Mytilus edulis: one gene and its partners. The protein of the gene in region 3 purifies or fractionates together with the protein of the main gene of each other region. This does not show direct contact. Links are inferred from orthologs where the notes say so. Each region holds a gene or a part of one and is shown on either strand. Other genes may lie near its edges.

Region 1 (10,500 bases), about 48 Mb from region 3:
TGGTAACGATATATTGACAAAGTAATGGTAAGAAATGGTGTGTTGTGATGTGAGGGTAGAACGTAACATATACTTCAGACGCAGTTACAGATTTTAATTTCTTAACAAAACAAGGGTATAACGAGGCTTTAAACAATTCACAAATTGCCTGTCTTTTTTAATCATAGTACAGTACGTTTTTCTTGGTCTTTTTCTGGTGGTCTCTAACAATCCTTAAAAAAATACTGTTATTATTACACGTTTCGTATAGTAAGAATGTCTCATCTTGCATTTTCTGATGTGTTGGTATTAATTTTAGCTCTGCAGGTTTTCCCTCGAAATATATTGGAAACTATTTGCACCAAGTTACTTTTGGATATACAAAAAAGTGAATTGCTTAAGGACAGGACAAAAAGTGAGTAAAAAAACAAAACAAACGAGCAATAATCTACAAAAGAGACGCATAAGATATCAAAGAGAGGCATAAGATATCAAAGGAATATTCAAACTCAAAAGTCAAAAATAAACCGACAAAAAAAAAGAAAATCAGACAAACAACAGTATACACAAAACACAACATAGATACCAAAGACTGAGCAACACTTATCCCACCGAAACCTGAGGTTTATCTCAGGTGATCCGGAAGGGTAGCTTAAGCAGATCCTGCTCTACAAGTGGCACCCGTCGTGAAGTATCATGATTCGTACAATTATCGTGTTTTACTTATTTGACAATAAACAATTATTTATAAAGTGGGTTTCAACTCAAATGTACTGGTATATTTCACCAGTCGTCCATATTAAACCTAGCTGGTTATAAATTAAGTCATCACTTAGGAAAATTGTCATAGTGTTGCTACGGAACGAATCCGTGCAAACCGTTTGCACTAAAATCCTTTCCCGATTAACTACGATATGAAGTCGGTCGATATGTTTCTAAATCAATTAAAAAAAACTTACTATAAAGAAGACCTTTTTCTTATAAGCTTCCATAGTTCGTTAATGATATTCTTTATTTGATAAAATCGGACTATAGAAAACATGAAATAAAGTATACTCTGAGATAGAAAAGAACCTCGTGTGCGATTGCAGCTAAAATGTTGCTTTTGATTTAAAAGATGAAAAACGGCACAATGGGAAAATTGAAATGGTATATTTTGTCAATCTGAATACAGATCATACCTATGAATGTAGACACAAATCAGTTTAGAAAATGTAACCAGAGAGCGCAGTTCTTTCAAAAATTTGGACCACTAAAAATCGTCAAACGATACAGTGTAAAAGAGGGACGAAAGATACCAGAGGGACAGTCAAACTCATAAATCGAAAATAAACTGACAACGCCATGGCTAAAAATGAAAAGGACAAACAGACAAACAATAGTACACATGACACAACATAGAAAACTAAAGAATAAACAACACGAACCCCACCAAAAACTAGGGGTGATCTCAGGTGCTCTGAAAGGGTAAGCAGATCCTGCTTCACATGTGGCACCCGTCGTGTTGCTTATGTAATAACAAATCCGGTAAATAGTCTAATTCGGTAGGTCATATTCATGAAAGGGGAGGGTATTGTAGTTACGACGTAAGGAACATATCCGATATCATTTGTGAAACGGTTATTCTATAACCAGTGCTCTAGCTAGAATTCAAAAGGGGCAGGGTGCCAGTGGAGGGCAGGGCACTTTTTTATGATAGGAGAAGGCACTGCTCATTTTTTTTGTCTACGTCCCTGCGTGTATCACGATTTCACATATTTTTTTTTCTGTATATATTGTTAATAAAGATGCATAAGTTGTTTTGATTATTTATTCTATAAAATTTGCATAAGAAAAGTCATTCATACTACATGTTCATAAAACATGGCAATACACATTCATACTATTAACCAAAAGAGGCAAAATAAACTTACTTTTCTCCCCCACCCCCTCTCCTTCCAAAAGAAAGATCATAAACTAAACATCTCATAGTTGACCATACATGTACATGACAGAGTACTTTAAAATTTTGATCTAGAGCTTGACCCTCAACACCTGTTTTCATTGTTCATGTTCAGAAATATATTATTTAGTGTAGCTTCATCAAGTTGATTTGTGATTAGAGTTAAACTGCACACTTTCAGGTTAGAAAGTACATAGCTTGGACACCTGTTCAGAACTTTAAAACTTGTTTTTAAATTTCTATTTTGACAATGTATAAAACATGGATTGCCAAAAGTATGATTATCAAAAATAAATTGCAATATATTTTTTTTTGTATGTTCAAAGACAGTTAATATCCTTAAGGTAACATTCTTATATAATTTTGTATTCAATTGGTTATTTTTTCCTATTTTTAGTGCTAGATAATATTTTAGGAGCACAATTTTGTAATAAGCTTTTTCAGGGGAAATAACTCCAAAATTAATTTCCATGTTTACGTCTGCTTGTCGCTCACAAGTTGAGATGAGCGATGTTTCTGTAAAGGCATAGTTTTATTTTGATAACTTCAATTCAATTCTAAATTCACGAAAGTCTTCATTCATACACTCTTCCATGGTGACTTGAGGATCGAAAAGAAAATGCCGACACATTCATCATATTTATGACAAAGGTACATTGTCTTAAAATTAAATTACCTAGTAATTAACACCTTTGAAGTCTTATCCACTATAATTGATTGTAATGACATGATTAACCTCGTTACCTGGGGGCAATCACCAGGTGTCAGATATGTAATTGAACTTCTGATAAGAAATCGATTGAAACAAAAGGCAATTTTACCAAAACGGCACAAGGGTTTTTCGAAAAACAGCGTCAGGGCAGAAGGGCGCGGCTGAGGGCACACAGGGCGCGGCTAAGGGCACCCAGGGCGCGGCGCCCTTCTATTTTGGGCTAACGAGACCACTGGGTCAACTAACTCGTGATGGCGTCCGTAAAATTTATGAACATTACATGTTGAAATTCAAAAGACAGAATTAACTTTTTGTTTTTTTTATAAAATGAAAAGTTTTTTTTTAACCGAGGGAAATTAAACTAGAACAATGAACTTTGCCCTTAATTTTTCTCACACAACATGCACACATGGATCATTTTCCAAAAATGTCTATCAATCTTAAATTAAATTCACCATATATAACAGTCACCCAATAGGTACCAGTCCAATAGGTGTAATTTCAGATTTTAAGAATGAAATTGCTTATTTTACATATCATCTAATAATAATAATAAACAGCAGTTAACCAAATAGCGAAATTTGTACAGATTTAGTTAGACCAAAAATGTATAAGAAGGAAGTCGTTAACTTAATCCAAAACTTTGTTTTAAGTTAAGTGTTTATTGTCTATCTGATCCGTGACACATTGATACAATTTGGTAAGCGACGTCCTTTACTCGAGAGAGAAAATGTAAACTATGCAATTTTGTATTCAAAACATGGATCTGAATGGCAATTTGGTTTTATGGAAATAAGTCAAATTGTTGGAAAATATTCCCAGAACATGATAAAGACAATTTAACACTCATTTAGTTGTAGGATTATAGTTCCTTAAGGTTTTACCCTGTTAGTCAATCTGATTAACAGATTAACATGTAGAACTTTATTATAAGTACATGTATCATAAGCTATTTACTAGTTAAGTCGGCTTCATATCTTGACTTACATCTAGAAATTGACAATGAGGGTCGGTTGAAAACAAAACTTTACGACAAAAGAGATGATTTCAGCTTTCCAATTGTGAACTTTCCATTTCTAAGTAGCAACATTCCAGCAGCACCTGCATACGGGGTATATATCTCCCAATTGATACGATATTCCCGTGCTTGCATTTCCTATCATGATTTTCTTGATAGAGGGTTACTGCTCACAAGGAAGCTATTAAACCAAGAGTTCCAAATGGTAAAGTTGAAATCATCCCTTCGTAAATTTTACGGACGCCATCACGAGTTGGTTGACCGTTATGGAATAACCGTTTCACAAATGATATCGGATATGTTCCTTACGTCGTAACTACAATCCCCTTCCCTTTCATGAATGTGACCTACCGAATTAGACTATTTACCGGATTTGTAATCACCGCATGATAAGCAACACGACGGGTGTCACATGTGGAGCAGGATCTGCTTACCCTTCCGGAGCACCTGAGATCACCCCTAGTTTTTGGTGGGGTTCGTGTTGTTTATTCTTTAGTTTTCTATGTTGTGTCATGTGTACTATTGTTTTTCTGTTTGTCTCTTTCATTTTTAGCCATGGCGTTGTGTCAGTTTGTTTTAGATTTATGAGTTTGACTGTCCCTTTGGTATCTTTCGTCCCTCTTCTATTTGTGTGCCCTATCCCTTTTTCCGAAATCCGCTACTTTCTTGTTTTCTATTCATTTCAATTCTTTTGTCGTTTTTTTTATATGTATTATGTGACCATTTAAACACTAGAAATAAAGTGTATTTGCTATTTACTATCAATTCCAAGTTTACTATCCACAGCTAGTGCTCACTGATTTATTATATAGGGGGAGGGTTAAGAAAAAAATATCCTGTCCTAAAGTACCTATGGCTCCCAGTGGCAAATATTTCTGCTTATTCAAGTCGATAACTACTCAATACAATATGCATGGTATGCAAAATGTGGCCTCCCACTTAGGAACATGAAGCTATGTTAAATAGAGGCAGACATTTTGCCTCGCAATAATCTATCTACAGATACCTCAGAGACAGAACACAGAAGTAGTTCCCATAAGACGAATTTAATGTTATTGACGATATAGATTTTTTATGTTTTGACACAATCATTTTTTTTCTCAATGTAGGTCAGACTTTGTTTATTTAAAAGAATATTGAAATAACAAAAATACTGAACTCTGAATACAATTCAAAACGGAAAGTCCGTAATCAAATGGCAAAATCAAAAGCCCAAATATCGAATCATGTTATAGCTTAACTAGATCTGACTGTGTATTGATGAATTTTCTCTGGTAAAACTCTGTACATCGACTGGTTAAACATGCTGAAGATCCTATCGAAGACTAAAGCGTAGTTAATGGATTTTATTTCGCCGGACTCACCTCTAAAACCCGTTGAAGAGTAATTACACCACGTCTGAATGTACCACTGAAAGTTGGTTATCTGCATGATCAGCAAGTTCAATTGTATAAAGCCGACACTTGTTCTGAATTAAGTTATTAAGTAAAAAGTTATGAGAAAGTTTTGATAACATATCATCTGTAGCTGAAACATATGTGCACGCTTAATGTGTCCACTTACCCAATTCTCCCCTACTATTATTTCAGGAGCATCTATTAATGGAAACTAGTTCAATATAGGTAGTCATGATCAGCTTGTACAATATAATCATGTTTGTTCAAATGTTGATCCGGGATACCCCCAAAAAAGTCCGAAAGGCCAGTTCGTCTGATGAGGAGGGAATTTAGTGGCTGTCAAAAATCTAATGCCGAAAGTAATAATTAAAACTCAAATTTACAAACGGCAAAAGTCCTCAGGCGGCGGGCCGGGTCGCCTAGTCCCCCCTCCATGATTCCAATCTTAAATTGTTGATCTTGACTCAGACATGTACAGTACGTGAACAATTTTCATGGTGGTATGTTTACACGTGTATGTTTACAATCAATACTACCGTGACTAACGTACGGTACCCAAATTGCACCGAGTACCCAAATTGCGCCTATTTAGCAAAAATAGCAGCGGACATCTAGGTGCAATTTGGGTATATACCGTCACGTTACGTTCCTCCTCATTTCTGAAACAATTATTAAAAAACATTGAAAAAATATTGATCCGTTAAAAGTTTAGACTGTCGTGCGTCTGCACTGAGACTACTATAACATGTGTTATAGTAGTCTCAGGTCTGCATAAGAAAACAAAGAGACAGACCACGGAAAACACTTTAACAAAACCAATTTCACTACGTTCTCATCAAAATGCTCAAATAATAGTTGATTAAAAATATATTCCAAAAGAATCATGAAGACATCGATATTGAGCGATGCACATCATGCACAAATAGGGCTCTTCACGGTTAGTTCGGCCATATTGGATAGGGGGCAGATTTTCATAATAGAGGTAAAAATGGTGTGAAAAATACGGGAAAACATCATTAAAACAGAGCTGTTGCTTGGAAACACACATAGGATTTCCCACACTTTCATACCATTTCCACCTCCTTCCAAAAAATCTGCCCCCTATCCAATATGGCCGAACTAACCGTGAAGAGCCCTATTTCCGGCGGAAACTTTTTTCACGAACTGAAAGCTGAAAACTTTCGGCGTGTAAATTTTCTAACTTGTGAAATAACTTTAAATGTTGTGATTTTAGAATGACAGATTGTTTTACCGTTAACCATTTAAACTAACTGAAGGAAACTAGATATTTGTTTGATCAAAATATTTTTACCAATAACGCATTTTTAGTACGTGTCACATGATCCAATGCTTCGTTTAAAGTCGGGAAGTTTCGGCACGGATTTAACATGGCTGCTGTGACGCCATGTCGGTGTTGAAAATGACAATGTAAAACCGTAGAAATTTCCAGATGCCAGGCCAACAGAGGCCCCATATGACTAATTTACTTTATAATTATTGTGCAGAGAGTGTATATAGTGGACTAGGAGAGCTTCAAACTGATTTGGGGCTTTCGTTTTCAGTTTAATGGAATAATATGAATCTTGACTCATTATCTTTTGCCTTGGCTGAAATAAGTTATTCAGTGGCCAACTTGACAAAGAAAAATTTTAAATCGAGTATAACAGAAATAAGTCATGTACGTATAATCATAAGATTAATTCCAATATCGCTTATATACTGTTTATAACCAGAGATTTTGTCAAGAGTATCGTTATCAAGGGAGATAATTTCAGCTCGTGTGATCTTGACCAATATGTGCACATGGTGTACTGGTAAAATCAGCTGATATATGATGTTGTTATCACTTTGAAATAAACCATGTCATTTGTTTGTATTGAAGGCATTGCCCCATGATAAATTTATGCAGCCTTTTAGTTTGACTGTCTGAACTTTGATTATGAGTTTGAAAGAGGTCCAGTGCTGTGATGGTATCGGGATCGTTTGCCCTAATACATGTTCGCCCTAGGTTCGTTCGCACTGAGTTTGTTCGCCCTGGTAATCCGTTCGCCCTGGGTTCGTTCGCCCAATTTTCATTTATGATATGTAAAATTGAGAAAGGAAATGGTGAATATGTCAAAGCGACAACCACCCGACCATAGAGCAAACAACAGCCGAAGGCAACCAATGGGTCTTCAATGTAGCGAGAATTCCCGCACCCGTAGGTGTCCTTCAGCTGGCCCCTAAAATATGCATAATAGTACAGTGATAATGGACAATGTATACGTTACATTAATGAAAGAAATATATATTTATATATATATTAAAATTTATGTATATCTATTAAAAGTTAAATACAGAATATTAATGAAATAAAATTTTTGGCTGCATTGTTACACTTTATTTTATAATTACTGTTGATTGAATTTTGATTGCTGATAATTTGAAATCTTTGATATCACTGATTGTTATATGAATTGTCTTTGATGGATTAATAATGAAAATAGCATTTTTCCCAAATAAAATTTTTACAAATTATTGCCAAACTGTACCGTCCGACAACCCACTTGACCAGGCGCGGATCTAGATGGGGGGTTCCAGGGGTTGGAACCCCCCCTTTTTTTGGACAATCAATGCATTTGAATGGGGACGTGTAATTGGAACCCCCCCTTTGTCCTGGGTTAGGAACCCCCCCCCCTTTTAAAATGGCTGGATCCGCCCCTGCACTAGACAACGTTCAGCCGCTGCAGTAAAGAATTTTAGATCAATTAACACTTTGAACTTTGAACACTTTCTTATGTATAACTTTAGTGCTCCTAATGTATCATTTTTATTGATCAAATCATGTGTGGAAATGTAAAGCAGAGTAAAGTATATATGTCTCTGTGTAAAGAAAAAGGATGTGTGATAGTGATTTCCTAGTAACGTAATTACATACAGATACTAACTTAGTTCTCAATAGTTCGTTAATATTCGGCGAAATTGTAGAGACTTCAACACACAACACTATAATAAAAAATAAAAATCAGGGCGAACAGGTATCAGGGCGAACGGTCTCAGGGCGAAACGGAACTAGGGCGAACAGTAACTAGGGCGAACCGAAATCAGGGCGGACGGACCCGGATTCTGCTGTGATCATGTGGAATCAGTTGCTCCATAACACATATGCACTTAACATGATCACATCCTATATTTATTCAAAATTAGGTTGAATTAATTTTCTTGTATTGTTTCGGTGATAATATCAATATCATGAATATATATACATGTATGTTAGACTCAGATTGACGTCTGCTCCTCATATTAATCGACTTCCAAATGGTATCCAGTCCTTCCGGCCCCAAACCGATCCGGCCCTACTTCGTTCCTGCCCCTCGTCGATCTGGCCCCATAATAAATGATGAGGAATAAACTACAGACTTTTAATTAGTATAAATGGATTTTGTAAAAAGTATCAATAAAGGATGACAACAGGCAAGTGTGAGGAATTTTAAGAACTTCAAACAAAAACAAAGTTTGTACGTATCAGCTTGGGGATCGGCTTGAACCGTTGTGTATGTAACTATTTATTATTACACAGGATTAAAGACTTGTTAAGATCACAGTCAATTGAAAGAAATTGATAATTTAATACTGATGATTAATGTTGATTGTCCTAATTTCTGTTATATTTTTTTAATATAATTATACCCAATAATCTAGAAAACTTATAGTGAAAACATTTTGTTTTACATTACACCTTTTACATTGTAATAAAATTCAGAAATTCAGAAAAACATCAACATGCATATTAATACATACAATGTATGTATTTTGGTGAAAAATGTTCATATTATTGACCTACATTGTCGTTTTCCTCTCCTTTTCAATTAAATGAATGACATGTAGTTTGTCACTGGTATTCATGATTTCAGTCTTATTTATTTTCATAAACGATAAATACAAATTCGTGAACTATTTTTTTTTTTTAATGAATTAATTTTTTTTATGATTATATGATGAATTAGTAATTGCTGAATATTTATGATTACTTTTATAAAAATTGTAAGGTTAGTTTCAAAGCAAAATTGGTATCCTGGTTATTTGTTTGAAAATCACTATTGTTGTAATAACTAGCTTTTATGTAAAGTAAAATACATACAGTTAGCTTAGTAAGGCCAAAAAATCATTACCTGGTTCCACAGTCTTCACGATGAACTGCTAAATCTACAGGCCCAGCGCTCAATTTTTGAAATTTTTTAGTTAGATTCTGTTGGCCTGTAGATACAAGCCTGGGCTGCCACTCAGCGTGACGACTGGGTTCTAGCTACCCTATATCCCCTTGTTTAATTGATTTCAATGCGAGAGGCTCAATCAATTCTACATGTACACTGATTCATTTTTAAAATTTATTGGTACAAAAACTATGCTAGTCACACAATAAGCTATTGATATGGCACCCAATAGTCTTTTTGAATCATGAACATGATGAATGAGATGAATAGTTTCAATTATCTTAAAAAGTCACTGTAATTTTATGCCCAATTAGGGGCATTATGATTTCTGGTCTGTTTGTCCCTCTGTCCCGCTTCAGGTTAAAGTTTTTGGTTCAGGTTAAAGCTTTTGGTTCAGGTTAAAGCTTTTGGTCGAGGTAGTTTTTGATAAAGTTGATGTCCAATCAACTTGAAACTTAGTACACATGTTCCTTATGATATGATCTTTCTTATTTTAATACTGAAGTAGAGATTTTTTCCCCATTTTCGCGGTCTATTGAACTTAGAAAATGATAGTGTAGATGGAGCATCCATTTAATAGGGACACATTCTTGTTTTCAATGTATTTCATTTTATTTTTTAAAATTGGTTATTTATTTTTCAGCTTGTAAATCAACACGGAGCAGAAGCTGATAGACATTTATTTCGTTGTCTTTTTTCTCATGTTGACTTTAGTGGTGATGGTCGTAGTAGTGGAAAAGACTTTCACCAGGTATTAAACTAGAATGATTAAATATGTACAACTGGGTATCCAGCTTAAAAAAGTTGTCATGCCGATATGAATTAAGTTTACATGTAGGAGATGTTTTCCATTTCTGATGAGTGAAAAAGATCATCATGCAAAGATTTTTTTTAGAAACCAGAAACATTTGCATGGTGACAAAGTAGAGGTAAATACATTCTGAGGTTGTGAATAACAATGAATAAAAAAAATTTGCAAAAGAATGAAAAGAACAGTTTAAGAAAAAGGAATGAATACTTAAAAATTACAAAAAATCAAAGGTTCACTTAAGGGGAGGGGAGGGTGGTAGGGTGGAGTGTATGAGATGAATTAGAGGAATTTCAACTATTTGTTTGTTTGAAATAAGATGCAACACATCATGAATGTTAATACTTTTATAGGCTTACATGATCAATTTAGTAACCATTTAGAGCAATGTAGAATTTTTAGTCATGTTAGTTAAAATGAAAATTATATTTACTATATATGTTTCATTATT
Region 2 (11,135 bases), on a different chromosome or scaffold from region 3:
TTTTTAACTCATCAAAGACATTGCTGATATAAACCTATGATTAAAGTTTCAGGTAATTCTGGCAAGAATTGTACACAGTGCTAACAATGCAATTTTCCATGCAAATAATGCTTCTAACATGTCTAAGGGACACAACACTTTTAAAAATAATTGATCACCACTGATTTTCTGATTTGTCATAAAAATCTAGAAAGAATTGCACATGAGTTTGCTTGTTAATTCTGTCAAAAATTAGTAAATTTGGTTTTTTTTCACACAAAAAAGTTATCAAATGTTCTTCATGCAGAGATCTAGATAAACATGTACTTGATGTACAAGTGTATGAGGCAGTCTTCACGCTAAATGGCAGCCCAGGCTTGTAAAATTGCTCTCGGGCCTGTAAAAATTTATCTAAGCCAACAGAATCTAACTAAAAAATTTCAATAATTGAGCTACGGGCCTGAGGATTTAACAGTTCATCGTGAAGACTGATGAGGCAGTCTGTTGCAAACTGTTTCAGGATTTGTCTGACCAAAAAAGCAACTAGAATTTTCCTCCTATATATTCCACCAAAAAAATCCTGAAAGTTTGGTCTGACCGAATGATTTTATGGTTTCCTATGCCTTATCCAAGACATCTATTCTTCATTTGTCGGTCATAAGTCATTAAATATTGGACTTCATAGATGTTTCCTCAAAATTTTCAGGTCAAAACTAATAGTCTTTTGAAGAGAAAATGTCTGAAGTATTGGAAAAGTGAAAGTTGGATGACATCAAAAAGTTCCAAGTGTCACAAATACATGTACACCTATTTGGAAATTTACACCAGTTTACCAGAGAATCTGCACCTCTTGAACTACTTATGTCATACAACAATCACTTTTCATTTTGTTTTAGTCCGAATAATTATGACGTCTTGAAAGGCTTTTATACTTTTAAGTTTGACATTTTACATTGATGTCATAACGCTGAACTCATATTTTCAGTTGGACTCAAAGGTAATTATCTGTGTTAATAAAACTCTTGGGTTGATTTTTCTCAAAGATGCTTCAATTGAGTATAAAATATATTTCTGCACTAAACTCCGTAAAATTTGACATACCTGGATTTCTGGATAATATAAAACAAAGGTTTCAGAAATTGAGTCTGTCAAATTTTACAGAGTTTGGCGCAAAAATTCATTTTTTACTCTTCTTTAAAGAAATCAGTTATACATGTAGATGTTTTAAATAAAGCAGAAGATAAACATCAACCTTGGACAGTCAGAGCTCAGACATAAACAAGTCGATTTTTGATTTTGACTTACAGAAGTCAAAACATGTATTTATTACAAGAGTGCACACACTGAAATGTCTCGCCTTCTTTACTAATCATTGATATTATGTTGATAGTCCTAAGTATAAAGCTTTATTACAACTGTCACATAAACTTAACATTAACCAAGATAGCTAAACAAAGACCAATGAACCATAAAAATGAGGTCAAGGTCAGATGAAACATGCCAGGCAGATATGTACAGCTAACAAAGCTTCCATACAACAAATATAGTTGACCTACTACTTATAGTTTAAGAAAAATAGACCAAAACACAAAAACTTAACACTGTGCAATGAACTGTGCAATTGAGGTCATGGTCAAATAAAACCTGCGGGACTGACATATAGATCATAATATATTTCCAAACACCAAATATAGTTGACCTTTGGCATATAATATTAGATAAAAAGACCAAAACTTAAAAACTTAACTTTGACCACTGAACCATGAAAATGAGGTCAAGGTCAGATGACATCTGCCCGCTAGACATGTACACCTTACAATCATTCCATACAACAAATATAGTAGACCTATTGCATAAAGTATGAGAAACACAGACCAAAACACAAAAACTTAACTATGACCACTGAACCATGAAAATGAGTTCAAGGTCAGATGACACCTGCCAGTTGGACATGTACACCTTCCAGTCCTTCCATACACCAAATATACTAGCCCTATTGCTTATAGTATCTGAGATATGGACTTGACCACCAAAACTTAACCTTGTTCACTGATCCATGAAATGAGGTCGAGGTCAAGTGAAAACTGTCTGACGGGCATGAGGACCTTGCAAGGTACGCACATACCAAATATAGTTATCCTATTACTTATAATAAGAGAGAATTCAACATTACAAAAATTCTGAACTTTTTTTTCAAGTGGTTACTGAACCATGAAAATGAGGTCAAGGACATTGGACATGTGACTGAGGGAAACTTCGTAACATGAGGCATCTATATACAAAGTATGAAGCATCCAGGTCTTTCACCTTCTAAAATATAAACCTTTTAAGAAGTTAGCTAACACCGCCGCCGTAGCCGCCGCCGTAGCCGCCGCTGGATCACTATCCTTATGTCGAGCTTTATGCAACAAAAGTTGCAGGCTCGACAATAAAAATGTGTTTTCAATTTTAGACTTATCTAAGGCAGAAAATGACAGACTTGTTTAGGTCTATTTATGTTGATGAAAAAACATAATTTGACTTGGTGGCCAAAGTACACCACCTACATGTATGACAGCAAAAACTTGTCTGAGAGTTCACAAAGACTTGAGCTATCTATATTTAATTATCCAATTGAACATTCTAACTTAAACTAAACACAGATGTTTTACCTCATTAAGTGTGGCTCCAGGTGGTTGCATTGTAAGGTTAATTAACATTATCTCCGATTTTTTAGACTCTCATTCATATTTTTCTTTAGAAGACAAAGCATTGTTTTTCAATGTGGTCATTATTTGATTTAGATGTGTGACCTTTTTATAAATATGCGTGGGTCTTGAAGTTTACCAATGTTGGTAACTTATTGACTTGTAGTCCGTATTTGCAACTTTTTATTTCTTGTCAATTATTTCTTGCTTAACAATATTTGACTTATTAAAGTCGTATTTTGTCTTGCATTAAAGGGAGACAAATCCTAAAACTTACAAATTTAGACTTCTATGAGTCAAAAGCGGATTCAGACTTATTTATGTCTGAGCTCTGACTGTTGGATGGACTTTTTTAACATTACGAAAGACAATTATTGCAGGGATCTCCATGGATGAAAATTGAACGATGGAGGAACTTTCACCATTACAAACCGTGTCTACACTGTTTTCGACATGGTTTAGTGAATTGAGAGTAGATTACCGTGAAGAGGAACACTGCAGGGATTATGAAATTAGTTTAGTGTTAAAGGAAAATATTCACTAAATCGATTCATATAAGGCAGTGTTCTAGGATTCCCATTACCCGTTACCCGGGGTAAGTGGATTAGGACAACGGGTAAGTCATTTTTTAGCCTTTGTCACCCGGTGGTAAGTCAATTTTCAAGTTCAGGGAAGCCGAAAAACTCTTGAAATTTTCCGGTCCTCTTCAATTTTCCCATATCTGCTTTTTATTTTTATTAAATCACGAGAAAAAACTTTGACATGTTTGATAAAAGATCGAAGATTTTGTCGATGTCTATCGGCGCTTTTATTCAAACACTCGTTTACTAGGTGTAATCAAGCGCAAAAGAGACCACATTCTTCTCCTATCATTCTAAAAGTCGGTCACAGTATCGGTAAAATCGGAAAATCCGGATTGATAACTGGTGCTTAAATCCGGACATAAACGATTTTTTTTCTTGTCATCGGAGGAAAATAAACTTACAGTTGCATTTATTATAGCTCTTAATAAATGACATAGTAATAACTATAACATATTTGTCAAATTTAGTAAGAAATCGTTTTTTTTAAATTTTGTACAAAATTCAATCGTATCCGAATCCAGCTTTGTTCAGACAAACTTCACAACATATAATTTAAAGCATGTCATAAAAGTTTTTAAATTTAAAATCTATGTGCAACACATGACTTATCCTTAATCACTAATGTTCAGTGAATCAGCCTGAAAAATATTCAGTATTTTATAAAGAGCATGTCTGATTTTTAAAAAGAGTTGCATGTAAGTCCCTTATTTTTTTTTACAGTGGATTATTGGTATGAAAGTCAGTGAAGTTCTGTTATAGTTCAATGTACTTTTTTGGTGGTATAGGTATATAGTTACAATTAAGCCATATATTTCAAATACTTTTCAATACACTTTAGTCATCATTGCTTCATACAAAACATCATTTGACATCACAAAAAAGGGTACTTTCTGAAGCATGAAAAAGGTGCCAGGAAATGGCTAGAATGCAGGATTTTGCATCATTTACCCCAGAGCTTATGGGGACCTTGAGCGGCCCCCAGACTCCCGGCCATAACGGCAGCGGACGGCGCAGGCGGATTGAACTTATAGATGTGGGTAAGTAATTTTTTTATTGATCTTACCCGTGGTAAGTCAAGGTGCCAAAAAAATCCTAGAACACTGTAAGGTAGGGATTTTTAGCATTAAGTTGAAGGGTAGAAAAAGCGTCCGAAGCGGAGACTGTCATGACCTAAAAAAAAATTCGTTAGCCACCTTCTTCTATTTATATGGATAGTCGACCTTCCTGTGGATAGAAACAAAAGCCTGTGATATTAGCCCATCAACACGTCATGATTATTTGGACTTTTTTCAGTTATGACTTCAAATTTTTCCAGATCCTTTTGTTTTGAGATGTCCAGTAATGGCAGATAAATAGCTATCTCGGGTCAAGTGTTGCAGATCCTCTAATAGGGTTCAAGGTGAAGACTGTTAGTGTAAACAACCATTTTAGTCCATTTGTTATTTATGAACTTTGAGTTTATGTACATGTATTGTTACAATCGACTATAAAGCTGTATTTGGCCATACATTTATTTCACAATAATGTCTATTTTAGTACAATCAACTGTTCTAAGCATGCACAATGTCAATATATTCTGATATTATCAATTCTGAAACCCTGAACGATATGGATACATCGATGGGTAATCCGCCCTCTTTTGAGATACTTAGCTTTAATGTCATTAAAATTTTTCTAGAAGTAAATACTGATTGAAAAATATGAAGTATAATTATTATATTTTCGATCTATAACAGTCTAAACATTTATGCAAACCATTTTGTGGAGATAATACTCAAATCTTTTGATTCAGGAAGCAAGAGTTCGTAGAAATGGCCTCTACATCCGGGACAGCCTTTACTGGTTTACATGAGAGCAAGCATAGAAGAAAAAGAATTAAACCGGATATCAGTAATGGGTCAATACAAAATGCAGCATCGGAACGGATTTATTGTTTGTTCGTTTTCAGTTTTGCACAAATAATAAAAAAATCAACGTCAACCAGATTTATTAAAAAAAAATAAAAAAAAAAAATCATATTGTAATATAAATATCAGATAAGAGCCAAAAGAAATACAGATTTGACTGTTTTAACAAAAGGTTATTATTTAAAGGCGTATTTCAATAAAAACTTACTTTCTTATCCTAGCCACTTTTAAAAAAAATGTGTTTGATCTTTGCTAGTAATTTTTTGTGCAGCCAGTACATCGAATAAGATTTAACATTTTTAAGCAAAGACACAGATGATTTTTTAGAGCGATTGATAAGATATTGATTCCTGAATATGGTCCAAAACAACCAAAATGGCATGTCTCTAGACCGCCTGTTCAACATTCATACTCGTAAAAAAAATATAGAAATACATTTTATTTTTACTTAATATAAGTTCTTTAATAATTTTGTTAAGAGCCAAGTTCAGTCAACATATTTAAATAAACAGCTTTTAGCATAGGATTTTCAATTTCAGAAGGTTTGTCCCTGACAAAATGTCCAATATAAATATCAGATAAGAGCCAAAAGAAATACAGATTTGACTGTTTTAACAAAAGGTTATTATTTAAAGGCGTATTTCAATAAAAACTTACTTTCTTATCCTAGCCACTTTTAAAAAAAATGTGTTTGATCTTTGCAAGTAATTTTTTGTGCAGCCAGTACATCGAATAAGATTTAACATTTTTAAGCAAAGACACAGATGATTTTTTAGAGCGATTGATAAGATATTGATTCCTGAATGGTCCAAAACAACCAAAATGGCATGTCTCTAGACCGCCTGTTCAACATTCATACTCGTAAAAAAAATATAGAAATAAATTTTATTTTTACTTAATATAAGTTCTTTAATAATTTTGTTAAGAGCCAAGTTCAGTCAACATATTTAAATAAACAGCTTTTAGCATAGGATTTTCAATTTCAGAAGGTTTGTCCCTGACAAAATGTCCAATATAAATATCAGATAAGAGCCAAAAGAAATACAGATTTGACTGTTTTAACAAAAGGTTATTATTTAAAGGCGTATTTCAATAAAAACTTACTTTCTTATCCTAGCCACTTTTAAAAAAAATGTGTTTGATCTTTGCAAGTAATTTTTTGTGCAGCCAGTACATCGAATAAGATTTAACATTTTTAAGCAAAGACACAGATGATTTTTTAGAGCGATTGATAAGATATTGATTCCTGAATGGTCCAAAACAACCAAAATGGCATGTCTCTAGACCGCCTGTTCAACATTCATACTCGTAAAAAAAATATAGAAATAAATTTTATTTTTACTTAATATAAGTTCTTTAATAATTTTGTTAAGAGCCAAGTTCAGTCAACATATTTAAATAAACAGCTTTTAGCATAGGATTTTCAATTTCAGAAGGTTTGTCCCTGACAAAATGTCCAATATAAATATTAGATAAGAGCCAAAAGAAATACAGATTTGACTGTTTTAACAAAAGGTTATTATTTAAAGGCGTATTTCAATAAAAACTTACTTTCTTATCCTAGCCACTTTTAAAAAAAATGTGTTTGATCTTTGCAAGTAATTTTTTGTGCAGCCAGTACATCGAATAAGATTTAACATTTTTAAGCAAAGACACAGATGATTTTTTAGAGCGATTGATAAGATATTGATTCCTGAATGGTCCAAAACAACCAAAATGGCATGTCTCTAGACCGCCTGTTCAACATTCATACTCGTAAAAAAAATATAGAAATAAATTTTATTTTTACTTAATATAAGTTCTTTAATAATTTTGTTAAGAGCCAAGTTCAGTCAACATATTTAAATAAACAGCTTTTAGCATAGGATTTTCAATTTCAGAAGGTTTGTCCCTGACAAAATGTCCACTACGAAACGAAGTCATTAATATTTGCTAATTAACAGTTTTATAAAATCAATGTAATTTTTGTTTGCAAGAGATATAAACATTAGGGTCTTACAAAAGAAGTGATGCTTTTATAACGGCAATTAAATTGTTGGTAAGAAAAATTGAGCACATCAAATGGACCCGAGTGATACCGTATTTTTTTTAATGTCCACTACGAAACGGGTCAAATCTTCTTCAGTGTCTGGTTTTAAGATTATGAAAAATATCAGTGTACAGCTTAATACATGCTTTGATGAATACAATCAGTCTTGTTACTATTGCAATATAGGGATTGTGGGGAAAAAATAAAACATGTGAATATGTTCCCTACGAAACGGTCGCCTATATATACGAAACAAGTATGGGAGAAAAAAACGTTTCGTAGTGGACACTACCACTACCATGCAGTCTTTTTTTAACACCTTTTTCAATTATATTCGTGCAAAACAAATAACAAGGGTTAGTTTCATGTAATTTTTATTATGTTTTTATCAACATAGAATAGGGGTTGATGTTAGCTACGAAACTTTTTGTCCACTACGAAACGGTTTTGTCAACTACGAAACGCATCAAAATGTAACATGAGTTGTACCTTCATATGTGAAATACTGTCTAATCTTTATCGATAAAAAATGGTTCTCCAATTCAGAAAAAAAGGAAATTTTTCTAGTATATAAAGTAAAGAAACTGGAATGTCTATAGGCAACATATAAAATTGCAAAAATATGTGTGTTTAGAAGCAGTTTAATAGGGGACCGAAACAGTACACATTATGAAAATAATATCATTTAAAAGAATATTTAAGATTGCACTTTTTGTTTACAAACAGGTCTATAATAGAGGTATTCAAAATAACTCTTGAAATTAAATTTTAGACAACTTGATTTTCCATTATTTTTAGGTCTAAAAGTTACGCTTTTATTGAAAAACGACCTTGTAGCGGACATCCGGCATTGGCTTTGCTCATTGTGGAAGGCCGTACGGGGACCTATAGTTGTTGATTTCTGTGTCATTTTGGTCTCTAAAACTTGTGGAAAGTTGTCTCATTGGCAATTATACCACATCTTCTTTATTTATATTAAGACAGTACAATGTGCAATTTGCCATTACTCATTTTAACACGGATTTGTTTTCTCTGATTTCTATCTGTCGATTTATGACGTTCGAACAGTAGTATAATACTGTTGCCTTTATTTATCCATAATTCATGCAATTCAAAATAATAGTTTTCAAAACTTGCAGATAGCTTTAGTATATTTAGAGTTATCTTTCTTAGAACCATAAAGGAATCAAGTTGGAATGTAAATGGCTTCGGAGATAAATACAGAGATGATCAATTCATGTCTTGCCTCAAATATGAGACAATTGTTGCTTAGAATCGGAAAGTTCAAAATTGAGAAACTTCGGAAAGTTCAAAATTGGGAAACATGACTTATCTCTTTTGTCAATATCCAGATACTATTTATGAAAAGAGGCAGACATTCTGTATCTGTGGAATCCAATGGGAGAAATCAGAGACGACATAATCTTTATCACAGAATATGTAGTTGAATGAGAATGATTGTAGCTTCTTTTCGTTCTTCCGAGAAGCTTGTGTATATAAGTCGTCTACCTATCATGCTTACGAAAAAGAAAAATCGACAAAAGGACCATTGCTTCCAATAGGAATGTCAATAGGTTGTTGACCAACAAGTGCTCTAAACGTGACAAACATGTCAATTGAAAAATTCAAACAGACATATTACTATAATTGTTATAGTTTAAAAATTTGTTTAGTAAGAATCAAGTGCGTTTTTGAAAATCATGTTTTACCTCTTCCTATGACAAGATAGCTGTTAATACATTGGCTTAATTTATGAAACAAACAGACTCTTTCGATGTTTTAGAATGATTGATATTGTTGTAAAGGATAAGAAAGTCAAATGTTTTCTAATGGAAAAGGATAGAGACTTAGATTGTACTTAGATAATACATCGTTTTAAATATCCACACTTGATTTACACGACCCATAGAGATAATTACTCTGAAATTCCGATTTGATTAATTGTAAAATATAGTAATATTTTAGAAAGAGTTTTTTAAGCAGCACAATTGAATGCTGGTTGTAATGGAATCTGTGTTGTTTTGGTATTTAGTACTGAAAATGACGTTCCAGTTGTTGATATTTTTTTCAATTTACAGAAGACTCACCAGTAAAACTCGAATAAGATATAGTTGGGAAAAATAACTATATAAAGTACGAAGTTGAAGAGCATTGAGGATTCAAAGTTCCGAAAGTCTGGCCAAATTCGCTGGATAGAAAATCGTTAGTATTTCCCAATTCCTTAGGTAGATGTAATTGAACGATCCCAATTTGATATATAAATATTCCGAATTATATAATTGCACGCGAGTACACCTAACCAATGTTGATCTGCTTTGTTTTATTGAAAGGTAAGCAGAATTGTCGTGTTGTAAAGTTAACTTGTAAGTCTAAATCGATAGGTTTCTTTCGGGGCAAAGGAGGACGGGATTGTGGAATGACGATAATCGATTGGAACGTATTCATCTTCATCTGTGAAACATATGTTCCATAACGGTACACCAACATGTGAATAAATAAAATCATCATAGATACCAGGATTAAATTTTGTATTTACACCAAACGCGCTTTTCGTCTACAAAAGACTCATCAGTGACACTCGAATTTAAAATAAGTTAAAAGGCCATGCAAAATAATGTGCAAAGTTGAGGATTATTGAGGACCAAAATTCCTAACAGTTTTGCCATAGACAGCTTAGGTAATCTATTCCTGAGGTAGAAAAGCCATAGTATTACAGCAGATTTCAGTCAGTATGTAGCTAATGGTAAAATCTTTGGTTAGCTTGCTTGTTAGCTGAACCGTGAAGTCATTGTTAGGTAAGGTATACTACCCTCCTTTTAAAGTAGCTTAGTCCTACAGAGAGATAGATTTTTTATCTGTTGGGCTAGTCTACTATTAAAGGAGGGAAGTTTACCTTACCTAACAATGACTTCACGGTTCAGCTAACAAGCAAGCTAACCAAAGATATTACCATTAGCTACATACTGACTGAAATCTGCTGTAAAGATTTAAAAGTTTTGAAAACAGTGATGTGGTCCTGAAACTTTTCGACGGGATATCAAGTTCATCACTTGGAACTCTTGGTTTAATAGCTTCGTTTGTAAAGAGCAAACCTCTATTAAGAAATTCATGATAGGAAAAGCTATACCTGGAATATCGTACCAACTGGGAGATATAAACTCCATATGCAAAGGCTGATGGAATATTGCTTCATAGAAATGGAAAGTTTACAATTGGGAAGCTGAAATCCTATATGTTGTCTTAAAGCTTTGCTTTGTTTAGACATTAATTGTAAATTTCTATTTATAAGTCAAGATATGAAGCAGAATTATCAAATATATCTTTCGTATCCGTTATTTCATGTAAAATGGGATAGATGCATTCAACAGATGCTGCTTGAGGTACTGATACCGTGTGTCGAACTTAAAAGTCGACGAACCTTTGGGTTTCCTCTACCATAAATGTAACCGGGAGAGTGGCTACTTGATTGGGGATGATAACGAGCTACAACCCACGACCGGTTGACGTTGTCGATGTAAAGGGTAGACAATGACTATGAGTATCGCTCTAAGACTAGCATGACAAGGTCCATTTTAAACATTTGAATTACCGCACATCAAATAAAATACTGTCTGTAATATAAAACTTATCAAAGATACAGACTAGAATTGGTAACAAGATATTTATATAATAGATATGTTTGTCCATATGCATTCAACTGCAAATAATGCAAACTTATACTATTTAGATTATATGTGTGAAAAAATACATAATGAATAAATTAACCTTTGTTTCGACCGTTGACTTCCTTGTTCAAAAATTTTCAACAATATGGTAAGAATATTTTTGATATTTCACTTTTTGTTTCGATTTGTTATCATATGCAACTTCTGTACAAAATACTTTTCATGGGAAGAATAAAACTTGCGGATGATACACAATTAAGGGACTTCAAAATCAGAAGTTGAAG
Region 3 (10,742 bases):
TCTACAGCACTCACTCACATTGCAAGAAAAAAATGTTTAATAAACTGCTGACATAAAAAAAAAAAATCTGTATGTAATTTTTATAGTTTAATACAAAAAGTGAAATTAAAGGGCCACTAGCTGTCAAAATCATATTCATTGATTTGACTCAAACTCTCATATTTGATTTATAACATACTTAAACACATATCCAAATTACAATTAGTCTGAAATAAACAGTTAACCATGCATATACACTTTACTAGAAAATACATATACAAAGATAGTGACCTCGTTCAATTTTCTCAGTCCCAGTTTCATATCCGTCAGGACATTAGTCAGTACAAAGTTGAAGTTGGTCAGGTCAAGTTTTCTGACTTTTACAAATGTGTTTTTCAAATTTTTACTCTTGTATTTATTAATGAAATATTGTCATCTTGCTTGGTTCTAAAGCCTTTCAATAATAACAAGAATGTGTCCTCAGTACACAAATGCCCCACTCGCACTATCATTTTCCATGTTCAGTGGACCGTGAAATTTGGGTAAAAACTCTAATTTGGCATTAAAATTAGAAAGATCATATTATAGGGAACATGTGTACAAAGTTTGAAGTCGATTGGAATTCAACTTCATCAAAACCTACCTTGACCAAAAACTTTAACCTGGAGCGGGACAGACGGACGGACGCTACGACAGACGAACGGACGCACGGATGAACAGACGCACAGACCAGAAAACATAATGCCCCTCTACTATCGTAGGTGGGGCATAAAATCAAGAATGTGTCCCAAGTACAGGAATGTCCCACTCGCACTATCATTTTCTATATTCAGTGGACCATGAAGGAGGGGTAAAAACTCTTAATTTGGTATTAAAATTTGAAAGATCATATCATAGGGAACATGTGTACTAAGTTTCAAGTTGATTGGACTTCAGCTTCATCAAAAACTACCTTCACCAAAAACTTTAACCTGAAGGGGGACAGACCGACAAAAAAATGAACGGACGCACAGACCAGAAAACATAATGCCCCTCTACTATCGTAGGTGGGGCATAAAAATATTTAACCTTCTCACTCCGGTCTGGTCAATCCTCGGAACATTGTCAGGACATAATTTAAGGCATTAGTGTTACCAATTTGTATCTCATGAAAAATACCCAAGAGTTAAAATTAAGAAAGTGTAAATTGATACTAGCTATCAAAATGAATTAAAAAGTTGACTCACCTCTTCAAAAGCTTTAGCTGATCCATATCCTCCTAGGTAACCATTTAAACGGGAAGCAACAGGGGAGGTAATTAGCTCTTCATTAGTAAGATTGAGGCTATCTAATATCTCATGATACTTTCTCAATTGGTACTTTTGATGGTAACTAAAAGAATAAAAGCAAAAATGAAGTTAATTTGAAAATAAAATAGTTCAACTACTGTACAATGTTTTTCTAACGCTGAGGTAGTGAGTTCCAATCCTGTACAAATCTTAATTGACTTGGAGTGTAAGTTTTCCTGTCAATTGTTGTGGTTTTCTCTGGGCTTCCTCCACTACTAAAAACTGACTACAGATTAAGCCAATTGAGATGGTAGTGGTGTTAAACACCAACAATAAATCAATCAATCAGCTGTGCAAACTTCTTTTCTGTAAGGCATAAATGGATTTAATGATACAATTTCAGGATGGGTGGGGTAGGTACCAAATTAACTGTTTTTTATAGCTCACTAAGAGATCAACACAACAGTAGTGCAACAGGAAAAGCAGCATAGGCACTGGTACATATGTATACATATATGAGTTGTTTATGCTTTGACCTCTTATTTGAGTTATTTATATTTGTAACCTTTAATCTCTTATATGAATTGTTTTTGTTTGTAAGCTTTCACTACTTATATGAGATGTTTATAAGCTTTAACTTCCTACATTTGATGACATTTAATGTGCATTAACTTTCCACATGTGTGGTGCATGTTTGTAAAGTTGAGCCTCTATAAAGATTGTTGTTGTCTCAAAGGTACTGTGGATTCATTATTGTTCGTGGATCACCATTTTTTGTGGATTTCATGTGTAAAGGAGTTTTAGGAATTTAAATATTAAAGAACTAATTTTCTTATGGCTTGTATGCTGACTTTGACAAAAACATAAAATTGATTTTCCCAATTATACAATTATTTCTCAATTATACAATTATTTCCCAATTATACAATTATTTCTCAATTATACAATTATTTCCCAATTATACAATTATTTCTCAATCCACCTAAACTTGTACCAAGGGTCCAAATTTCACAATATGAATTACTGCGGATTCATTATTTTTTGTGGGGTAACAATTTTCATTGATTTAGTGGGTACAGATAAACCATGGATTGAAATGATCACTGAATTACACATTTTCTAAAAGGTTGTATGCAGACATTGGCCAAACCAAGAAATCAAATATCCACAAAAATGCAAGTTTTGCTCAATCCACAAAATTTGGTGCCCACGAAAATAAATGAATCCACAGTATTTGTATATGTCTTTAGTATATCTTACTCTTCTGCATCATAAAATGTATCAGCTTTCTTTATCTGAGTTACTATTGGTCGTACCATTTCCTTCTGCTGTTCTTTCTTTGATTCTTCTGCTTCTATTTTCTGTTTAGTGTTATGATAAAAGATGGCTGACATGTACTGGGTTCCGTGAGATGAAGTAGGATTGTGGAATGACCAGAATTTATTCAGCAGGTCACCATAGCTTATTTTACTGGGATCATACTCTAAGCTGATACTCTCTGTATGATCTCCACTACAAAATAGTTTACAGTTGAAATCAGTTCATTACAATTTGAATGTAGTATATATAAAATTTAACATTTTGAGCATAATATTCTCCCTATCTTACCTACATTGTATCATTCATTCATTTACATGTCTTTATGACCTTACCAATCTAAATTAAATGAATCTACAGTTAAAACATATTATTCATTTCTGGCAAAATTAAATGATAAAATATAAGAACATGCAACTGTTTTTCAGAGTAAAAGTTATTCCTATTTTCCCACAAATTGTAAACCAACTAGTTTTTGTGTGCAATTTATTTTAGAGTATAAAACTATTGCAAATATATAAATTGTCTTGAATATGAAAAATTGGATTTTGGTTTACTTAACTACGTAATGAAATTAAATCGCTGCGAAATTGGCTAGAATAGGCAGAACGAGAAATAAAATATTCACAAACATAAGTTGGTTTACAGCATGTTTCAAGAAATTTTAATGAACAGATTAGAATATATTTGTTGTTATCTATACAAAGGTAAATATCATTTAGAGAATAAACCAAAAACATATAAAATTCAAAATTTAACACTCATTTGTTGAAACCAAGTGATAAAATAAAGCAAGTGTTATTCTTTTCCATAACATAGTGTGCAGCAGGCAACTGCTAACCGTTTTTGTGCTATATGAGTTATGAATGTCACAGTAACATATAAAGCCTGCATAAGGCATCATAAGAATAAATTTGACCAAATAAATTATAACTCACATATCTTTTAAGCTGTAATCAAGGTAATATAATAAAAATTTATAACAGACTAATCCTTTATCAGATCAATATAATGTCTTACATGTTACGATAGGTAGCATTCTTGGTGGCTCCACCTGTGAATCCCACTTTGGTTCTGACCACACCAGGTAGACATCCAAACTGGGCCTCAGGGAACCAGAATCAGCTCAGGGCAAAAGTTGCCTTACATAACCTCCCTTCTTCTAGTGGCATAGTGAAGATACTCTACAAATATAAAACCTTTGTATTCTCTAGATAAATCATTTAGGCCATTGTGATTGAGGAGTGGTTCTGAAAAATGCTCACTACGTCATAAAGTGTAAATATACTTTAAAATAATGGTGCTTCACCCAAGAAGTACTCTTCAATGGTTATCTTTTGTCATTTGTGAGACTTGGTGTTGTCTGTTGATGGCAGATTTTTTTTATAGTTAAATTTGTTCAAAGTTTTTTATACTCTTGATAATTTTGAACCTAACAAATGGTATGACATGTAAAAGTTTAAACAAATGGTACTAATACAAATGTAGCTTTAACAAACAGAGTTTCACCCTGATTTTATACTTTGACATATACAATGTATATACATATCATCGAGTAATGTGTTTTTGGACTAATAACAATTTTCACTTCTCACGGTTTTCAGTGGAGTTTTTATTCAGGTGTGTACTCAAAATTTTAAAAACATGTTCTATCGAATGTTTGTAGATATCTAGATTTATTTGTCAAGGCTAACTATGACTTTTTACTAATTCTGATTATTTTGCGATTTTCGTATGTCAAAAAACAGTGTCATATGTTTTCATATGAAGAAAAAACGGAATCAGTTCACAAACAGGAAATGACTATCAAATCCAGAAATGAGTAATTTATAAAGTTGTGGTTCTGGTGATTGCTTAACTCATAAAAAAGTTATTTAATTCTTTTCAGTATTAAAACTAAATAGTAAATAGTTTTTGGTTGATGTTTCATGCGCTGAAATTCTTACATTTTGATTTTTTTCAGATTGGCACTGGGTTTCTACAAAAGACCTTATTTCTGAAGTTTTAAAATTAGTGATTAAATGTAAAAAGCTAGGACTGTTTTTATCATTATATATTAAGGTTGTATAAAAAGAATTGTCAATAGAATGTTGAATGAATGGAGTTTGAACAATCCGATTTTATGTAAGAACCCAGTTAATCTTAACTAGCTGGTTTGTCACAAAAACTACAGAAAACATACATGACAGTCGCATGTCTTGAAGATGCAGTGTTTGACAGACAACCAACATAGCTGTACTTCATGTAACCATTCTGAGTTTTTCTCAACAACTATTCTGGTGATGCATATTTTTGACAGTAAAAAAAAATGGCTGAAACAGGTAAGTTTTACTAAATTTGTTCTAACATATTTTAACACGATTTTGAATATGATTTAAAATTGTGAAGTTGTAGTGTGGTTGTTGTTCCAAATATAGAAACCGAAAAACAAGTCACAAGCCTCCTCTTTTGTGAGAAAAATTTGGTTGATCATATTGGGAATCACTGAAGCATGACTGAAACCCCCCCCCCCCAAATTATGCATATTTTCCCAATAAAAAAGGGTAGAGGTTGTTTTGAAAAATGCCAACAATATCACTGAGAATTTTATGAACTACTGGACCGCAAACTTTCCATGAAGTAAATGAATGCTATTTGCAAAATTGTAAAGATCAAAGAGGAGAACAGAAGATCAAGGCAAAAAGTGTGAAGCATATCTGTACCATAATTCAGTGGCCATTTTAAATGGGGGGTTCCTAACTTTGGACAAAAGGGGGGGGTTCCAACTATATGGTGGGTCTCATTGGGGTCTAAGCGTGACGCGGGATTGCCGATTTTTCGTAAGCGTGAAAGTCAAATTATTGTGTCGTGAAAACGGGAAATGAGGTCTTGCGGGACCCGGGAAATGACAAAAAAATTAGAATTGCTTACGTACATAGTGTAAGCGGGATACAGGAATCTGACAAAACAGTAAGCGGGATCCGAGATCGGAACCCCCCTATATGTTCCCATTCGAATGCATTGATCGGCCAAAAAAGGGGGGTTCCAACACCGGAACCCCCCTGGATCCGCCACTGTATAATCTTCTTTATTCGTCTTGTCACAGAATGCTTGAAATGAGTTAGCCCATATTACATTTATGATTAGCGTCATATTCTTGTTTACCTATCTGAACTATAAATGGCTGTGTTTATATAATATCATTGTTGTCTGTTATGTCTGTTATTATTTGACCTAAACTTAGGCTAAAGAAATAAATCCATAATGACAATTATAATATAAAATTGAGGTTCTACCTGTTATACCCTTTAGATATTGTTTTTAGGTATACACTGTAACTTTTAGATGTCAAATTGTTTTATAGGTATACACTGTATTAACTTTTAGATGTCAAATTTCAGTAAATCTGTTATCAATTCATAATTTAAAGGAAAATAGTAAATTTAATAATCCAGGAACCAGTTCCCAACAAGATTAGCCTAAATTAATGAAATATTATTATATTAATTTTGAAGACAAAATACATCTATAGTTAATATTGTATTGCTTGTATTATTAAAAATACTTTTGGATTTCATCTTTACCTCTAATGTAGTTAAGAAAAGTATTGAGTATTATTTCTTCAATCTATGATTAAAGTGGAGTCAGATATAAAATCATGAAATTACACTTTTCCCTCAGACAAGATGGATGCCTGCTGAGTCCAGGCCCAGGTCGGAATTTGAAAACAACAAACAGCAGGGTAACATAAATTTTGTATCCTCTGAAATAAATTTGAAATTATTAACATAAATAATATGTATGACTGGTTCAAGAGTAAATCCATGTAACATGTTGAAATGACATAATTCAAATGATCAAATTATTTCCGTCGTGACCTCAGGCTCAGTAAATAATTTATTTCTGGTTAAATCGCACCCGGTATAGTCAAATCGGCACCGACGGCAATAGTTGTACTGATTTCGACACCCACGTTAAATATGTTGAATATTTAAACTTTATTGTCGAGCCTGTGAATTTAGTTGCAAAAGAGACTGGCACACATTCATGACATAATTTCTGTGGTCATTAATGTTGACAGGCGGTATCAGGTCCGTTCGCACCCAATACATTTTGACACTCTTCACCTTCACACCACACATGTTTGTCCCGTTATAGATAGTGTACCTTCAAGCTTCTTTTAAAATGAAAATAAATGCCCTGCATCTTTACCTGTTAACTGATTTGAGATGTAAACAAACACAAAAATAAAGCATTGTCATCATGGTCATAATCTCTCTTCATTTAGAAACCATGATTTTTTTCATAGCAATGCACTAACCAAAACATGATTAAGATTTATGTTCAACACAAAACAAAGACTGACAGATGTCAGAATCTCACTTTATTTAGGAACCATTAAAAAAATATATTTATAGCAATGCACTTACCAAAACTCGTTTACAAAATAATTTAAACACAAAACTAATAAAAATTGGTTGCTAAGGTCTAGGGTGCAAAAGTGAAAGGAGGCTCACAGCAATGGGCGTGAACGGCCCCAGATTTATTGGAGGCGGCGTCCAAATATGTAAAAGTTTTTGAAATTTAAATTGAATTCTAGAAGTTTCATTTATATATTGGTTTGTCAGATTTTGATATTGATATATTTGTAAGTGATAAAAAATAAGTTATCTTTATTTTTTATATCAGGTTCATTTACAAGTAAGTAATGGCATCACAAGAAAACAAAGATGATTCTCCCCAAGAGACTGTAGATATTCCACCACCTATACCTTCAGTCACAGAACCTCAGAAACAGATAGCCAGCCAAGCTCTACAGGAATTTGAAAAGAAGAACTATGGTGCCTGTTGTAATCTTACACACAAACTTTTTGTTGAACGTTCAATGGATCCTAAAGTGGTCCACAACAAAGCAGTAGCTGAATTTTATCAAAGTGGATTCTTGACTACAGATGAATTTAGACAGAGCCTCGATAAAGTTTGCCAGATGGTATGATTTAATTTCAAATATGTAAATTAAAAGTGTTATGTTATTGGGAACCGTTGCAGTGGTTTTGAGCAATTATGCTTCCCTTGAGTACTAGAGGTTGTAGTTTTCAACTTCTGGCCAGGTCAATCCAGAGACTTTAACTTGGTATTTGCTTTTCCACTAAGCATGCAGCATTTCATGGTTAGCAAACATTACTGCTTGGCTCAAGATTCATAATAATATATATGAACTGCTGAACTAGCTCATTAAAAATTGGGTTTAAAGATTTAAAAGTGCATGCAGTGTTGTATTTATTTATCTATTTATTGTGAACAGAGATAATCATAAATCTCTAATTATTGTTCAGAGAAATATTATAGGCTATACATGCTATAGCTGTAGTCTCTTATAATAAGGATATCAAGAGAATATATTTGGCAAATATTTCCCTGTTTTTAAACTGTTAAAAAGGATTGTTTGTTTTTTTTTAAACTGTAAATGTGGCTGGTACTGTATACTGAATCAAGTAATAACATCTGCCAGCTTGTCTCTTCTACAATGAAAATTATTGTAAATAAATGTGTGTGTGGACTTCAGGATATCATACTAATGAAATATATTAATTATTGGCTGATAATTAAGTTTGCTGATTACTTTGTCCGATGCCTCCTAAAGGAAATGTTACATTGGCGGTCATTCTCCATCCTGGTCTTTTTAGTAATCACATAGGAAGTTATTTCTAAAGCATTTTGTAGAAATCACCCAGGAACATAGTTATGGGTGTCTTGATGATGATATATTGCTATATTATAACTTTGTAGTAATATACTTGAATTTTTATTTTCTCAGGCTAACATCAGCATGGATAACAGTGACAGTTTAGAAGATGTGGATCATAGTGTATTGTATTTTAACCAAGCCGTTATATTTTACCATCTCAGACAGTATAAAGCAGCCACAAAAGTCCTTGACAAACTCTTTCAGTTTATCGAACCTATAGGTATTATGTACACCATAGTGTATTGTACTTTATCCATGACCATATGTGTAATGTAAATTAATCACTGATTTTAACATTAAAAGTTGATTTTCATCATTGTTCCTCTACTATCAGTCAAATTGCTTTTATTAAGGTTATTATTTGACAATGTTTGAGTTGATTTTGGTATAACTTATTTTTGGATGTAAACACATCTTCTGATTGGCAGACGTTGTTATGTTTATCAGCTCATAGACATAATTTTGTCATGTGACCATGACATCATCACGTTTTTCCATGATTTACTCCGGTTTGATATGGAAATTAGAATTAACTTATAAGAAATGACTGTAATATTTTTTTTGTCTTCGAAATAACATAAATGTGGTGCACACTTTAAAAAAACAACACTACAGGGGTTATTCAGTGTGACCACTATTTGATGTTATATCTTTAGATTTATTGATTCATACTGAATTTAACACCCAAGTAAATTTTCCAATACCTCCTAAACATATCTATCCTATTTTTAATATATATTAATTCCATTTTGATAAGTTTTTATTTTTACAGTTATCATGCTTGAGGACAAGTTGAACTGTGTTATAGTAGATTACTTATGTTTTTAATGGTCAAACGCTTATTGTTACAAAAACTAACTGTCTATTTGTTTATTTTCAGAAGAAAATTTGGCAAAGAAAGCAATAATGTTACTTGTTGAACTATATCTGTGTACTTTTCAAGTAAGTCACTATATCACATTGATTCATTAGACAGTTTATGCATTGATCTTCAAATGAGCTCAATTCAGGAAAATTTTTGGCTTTATTTGTCCAGTCTGTGAATGTAAAATAAGAAGATGTGGTATGATTGCCAATGAGACAAATCTCCACAAGGGACCAAATGAAACAGAAATTAACAACATCGGGTCACCGTATGGCCTTCAACAATGAGCAAAGACCATACCGCATAGTCAGCTATAAAAGGCCCTGAAAGGACTAATGTAAACAATTCAAATGAGAAAACTAGCAGCCTAATTTATGTACATACAATGAAGGAAAAACAAATATGTGACACATCAACAAAAGACAACCACAGAATTACAGGCTCCTGACTTGGGACAGGCACACTCATACAGAATGTGGCGGGGTTTAACATTTAAGCGGGATCCCAACCCTCCCTTAACTTGGGATAGTGGTATAACAGTACAACATAAGAACGAACTATAAAAATCAGTTGAAAAAGGCTTAACTGATCAGATGAATAGATTAATAAAACAAATGGAACTACATCTAACAAAAATACATATTATCTTTATTTATTTTTCTTCTTACAGCCAGAGAAAGCGATGGGAATGTTAAGTTATGCAGAGAAGAATGTATTTAATACTGGGAAATCAGGGGGAGATAAAGAAGGGAAGGATAAAGACGACAACATGGCTGATGACCCAACAAAAACAAAACTTAGTCTGGTGAGATAGGTTATGTTTGTAATTTAAATATCTATTTTTTATTTAATTTGAATTTTATGCCCCACCTATGAAGTAGAGGGGCATAATGTTTTCTATTCGTTCATATGTTTGTTTGTCCGTCTGTCCCGCTTCATTTTAAAGTTTTTGGTCAATGTAGTTTCTGATGAAGCTGAAGTCCAATAAACTTGAAACTTAGTATACATTTCCTATGATATGATCTTTTTAATTTCAATGCCAAATTAGAGTTTTTAATCCAAATTTCACAGTCCACTGAACATATAAAATTATAGTGTGAGTGGGGCATCCATGTACTATTGACACATTCTTGTTTTTTTTTAAATGCCATACTTTATCCCTCAATACCACACTAGATTAAAGGGAGGACATCAAAGATAATGTATAGGTTATCTTGATATATTTCTAATATCCACAAAAGTCAATCACTGAAGTTTGGAAGTTGTATATTCTTTAGTAATTTCGTCCACTGTGTCATTAATATTTACATTTAATAGTTAGCATGAACATGTCTTTCGATATTTTCACATGAACCAATGCTATTCCATATTTTCACATGAACCAAATTGAATGCTATTTCATATTTTCACATGAACCAGAATATCTCTACATGAATGTTTTACATACAGTTTAAACACCATCTCTTATATATAATTTCATGTTTATATATCATGAATGTAATTTGTGTTTTTTATTTTTATTTCAGTACAAAACAAGATGTTTATTAATGATGAAATCAATGAAGTCTAGTAAAAGAGAAATTAA

What was found.
Region 1: the proteins of CCR4-NOT transcription complex subunit 10-like (region 3) and CCR4-NOT transcription complex subunit 1-like purify together in Homo sapiens (affinity purification with mass spectrometry; 4 studies listed by BioGRID and IntAct, with this or other methods). This does not show direct contact. The link is inferred for Mytilus edulis from reciprocal best matches to the Homo sapiens genes CNOT10 and CNOT1.
Region 2: the proteins of CCR4-NOT transcription complex subunit 10-like (region 3) and F-actin-capping protein subunit beta-like purify together in Homo sapiens (co-immunoprecipitation; 3 studies listed by BioGRID and IntAct, with this or other methods). This does not show direct contact. The link is inferred for Mytilus edulis from reciprocal best matches to the Homo sapiens genes CNOT10 and CAPZB.

The regions. Positions count from the first base shown.
Region 1 is NC_092348.1:63,138,717-63,149,216, reverse strand, and holds the start of CCR4-NOT transcription complex subunit 1-like, read left to right. Parts: upstream 1-6,265; 5' UTR 6,266-6,624; coding exon 6,625-6,726; intron 6,727-9,884; coding exon 9,885-9,992; intron 9,993-10,500.
Region 2 is NC_092356.1:9,173,139-9,184,273, reverse strand, and holds the start of F-actin-capping protein subunit beta-like, read right to left. Parts: upstream 5,136-11,135; 5' UTR 5,009-5,135; coding exon 5,006-5,008; intron 1-5,005. UniProt on the Homo sapiens protein: F-actin-capping proteins bind in a Ca(2+)-independent manner to the fast growing ends of actin filaments (barbed end) thereby blocking the exchange of subunits at these ends.
Region 3 is NC_092348.1:14,909,273-14,920,014, reverse strand, and holds the start of CCR4-NOT transcription complex subunit 10-like, read left to right. Parts: upstream 1-6,201; 5' UTR 6,202-6,285; intron 6,286-7,232; 5' UTR 7,233-7,251; coding exon 7,252-7,533; intron 7,534-8,361; coding exon 8,362-8,512; intron 8,513-9,172; coding exon 9,173-9,234; intron 9,235-9,827; coding exon 9,828-9,962; intron 9,963-10,683; coding exon 10,684-10,742. Other genes in the region: peptide methionine sulfoxide reductase-like, read right to left, coding at 1,206-1,350, 2,508-2,641. UniProt on the Homo sapiens protein: Component of the CCR4-NOT complex which is one of the major cellular mRNA deadenylases and is linked to various cellular processes including bulk mRNA degradation, miRNA-mediated repression, translational repression during translational initiation and general transcription regulation.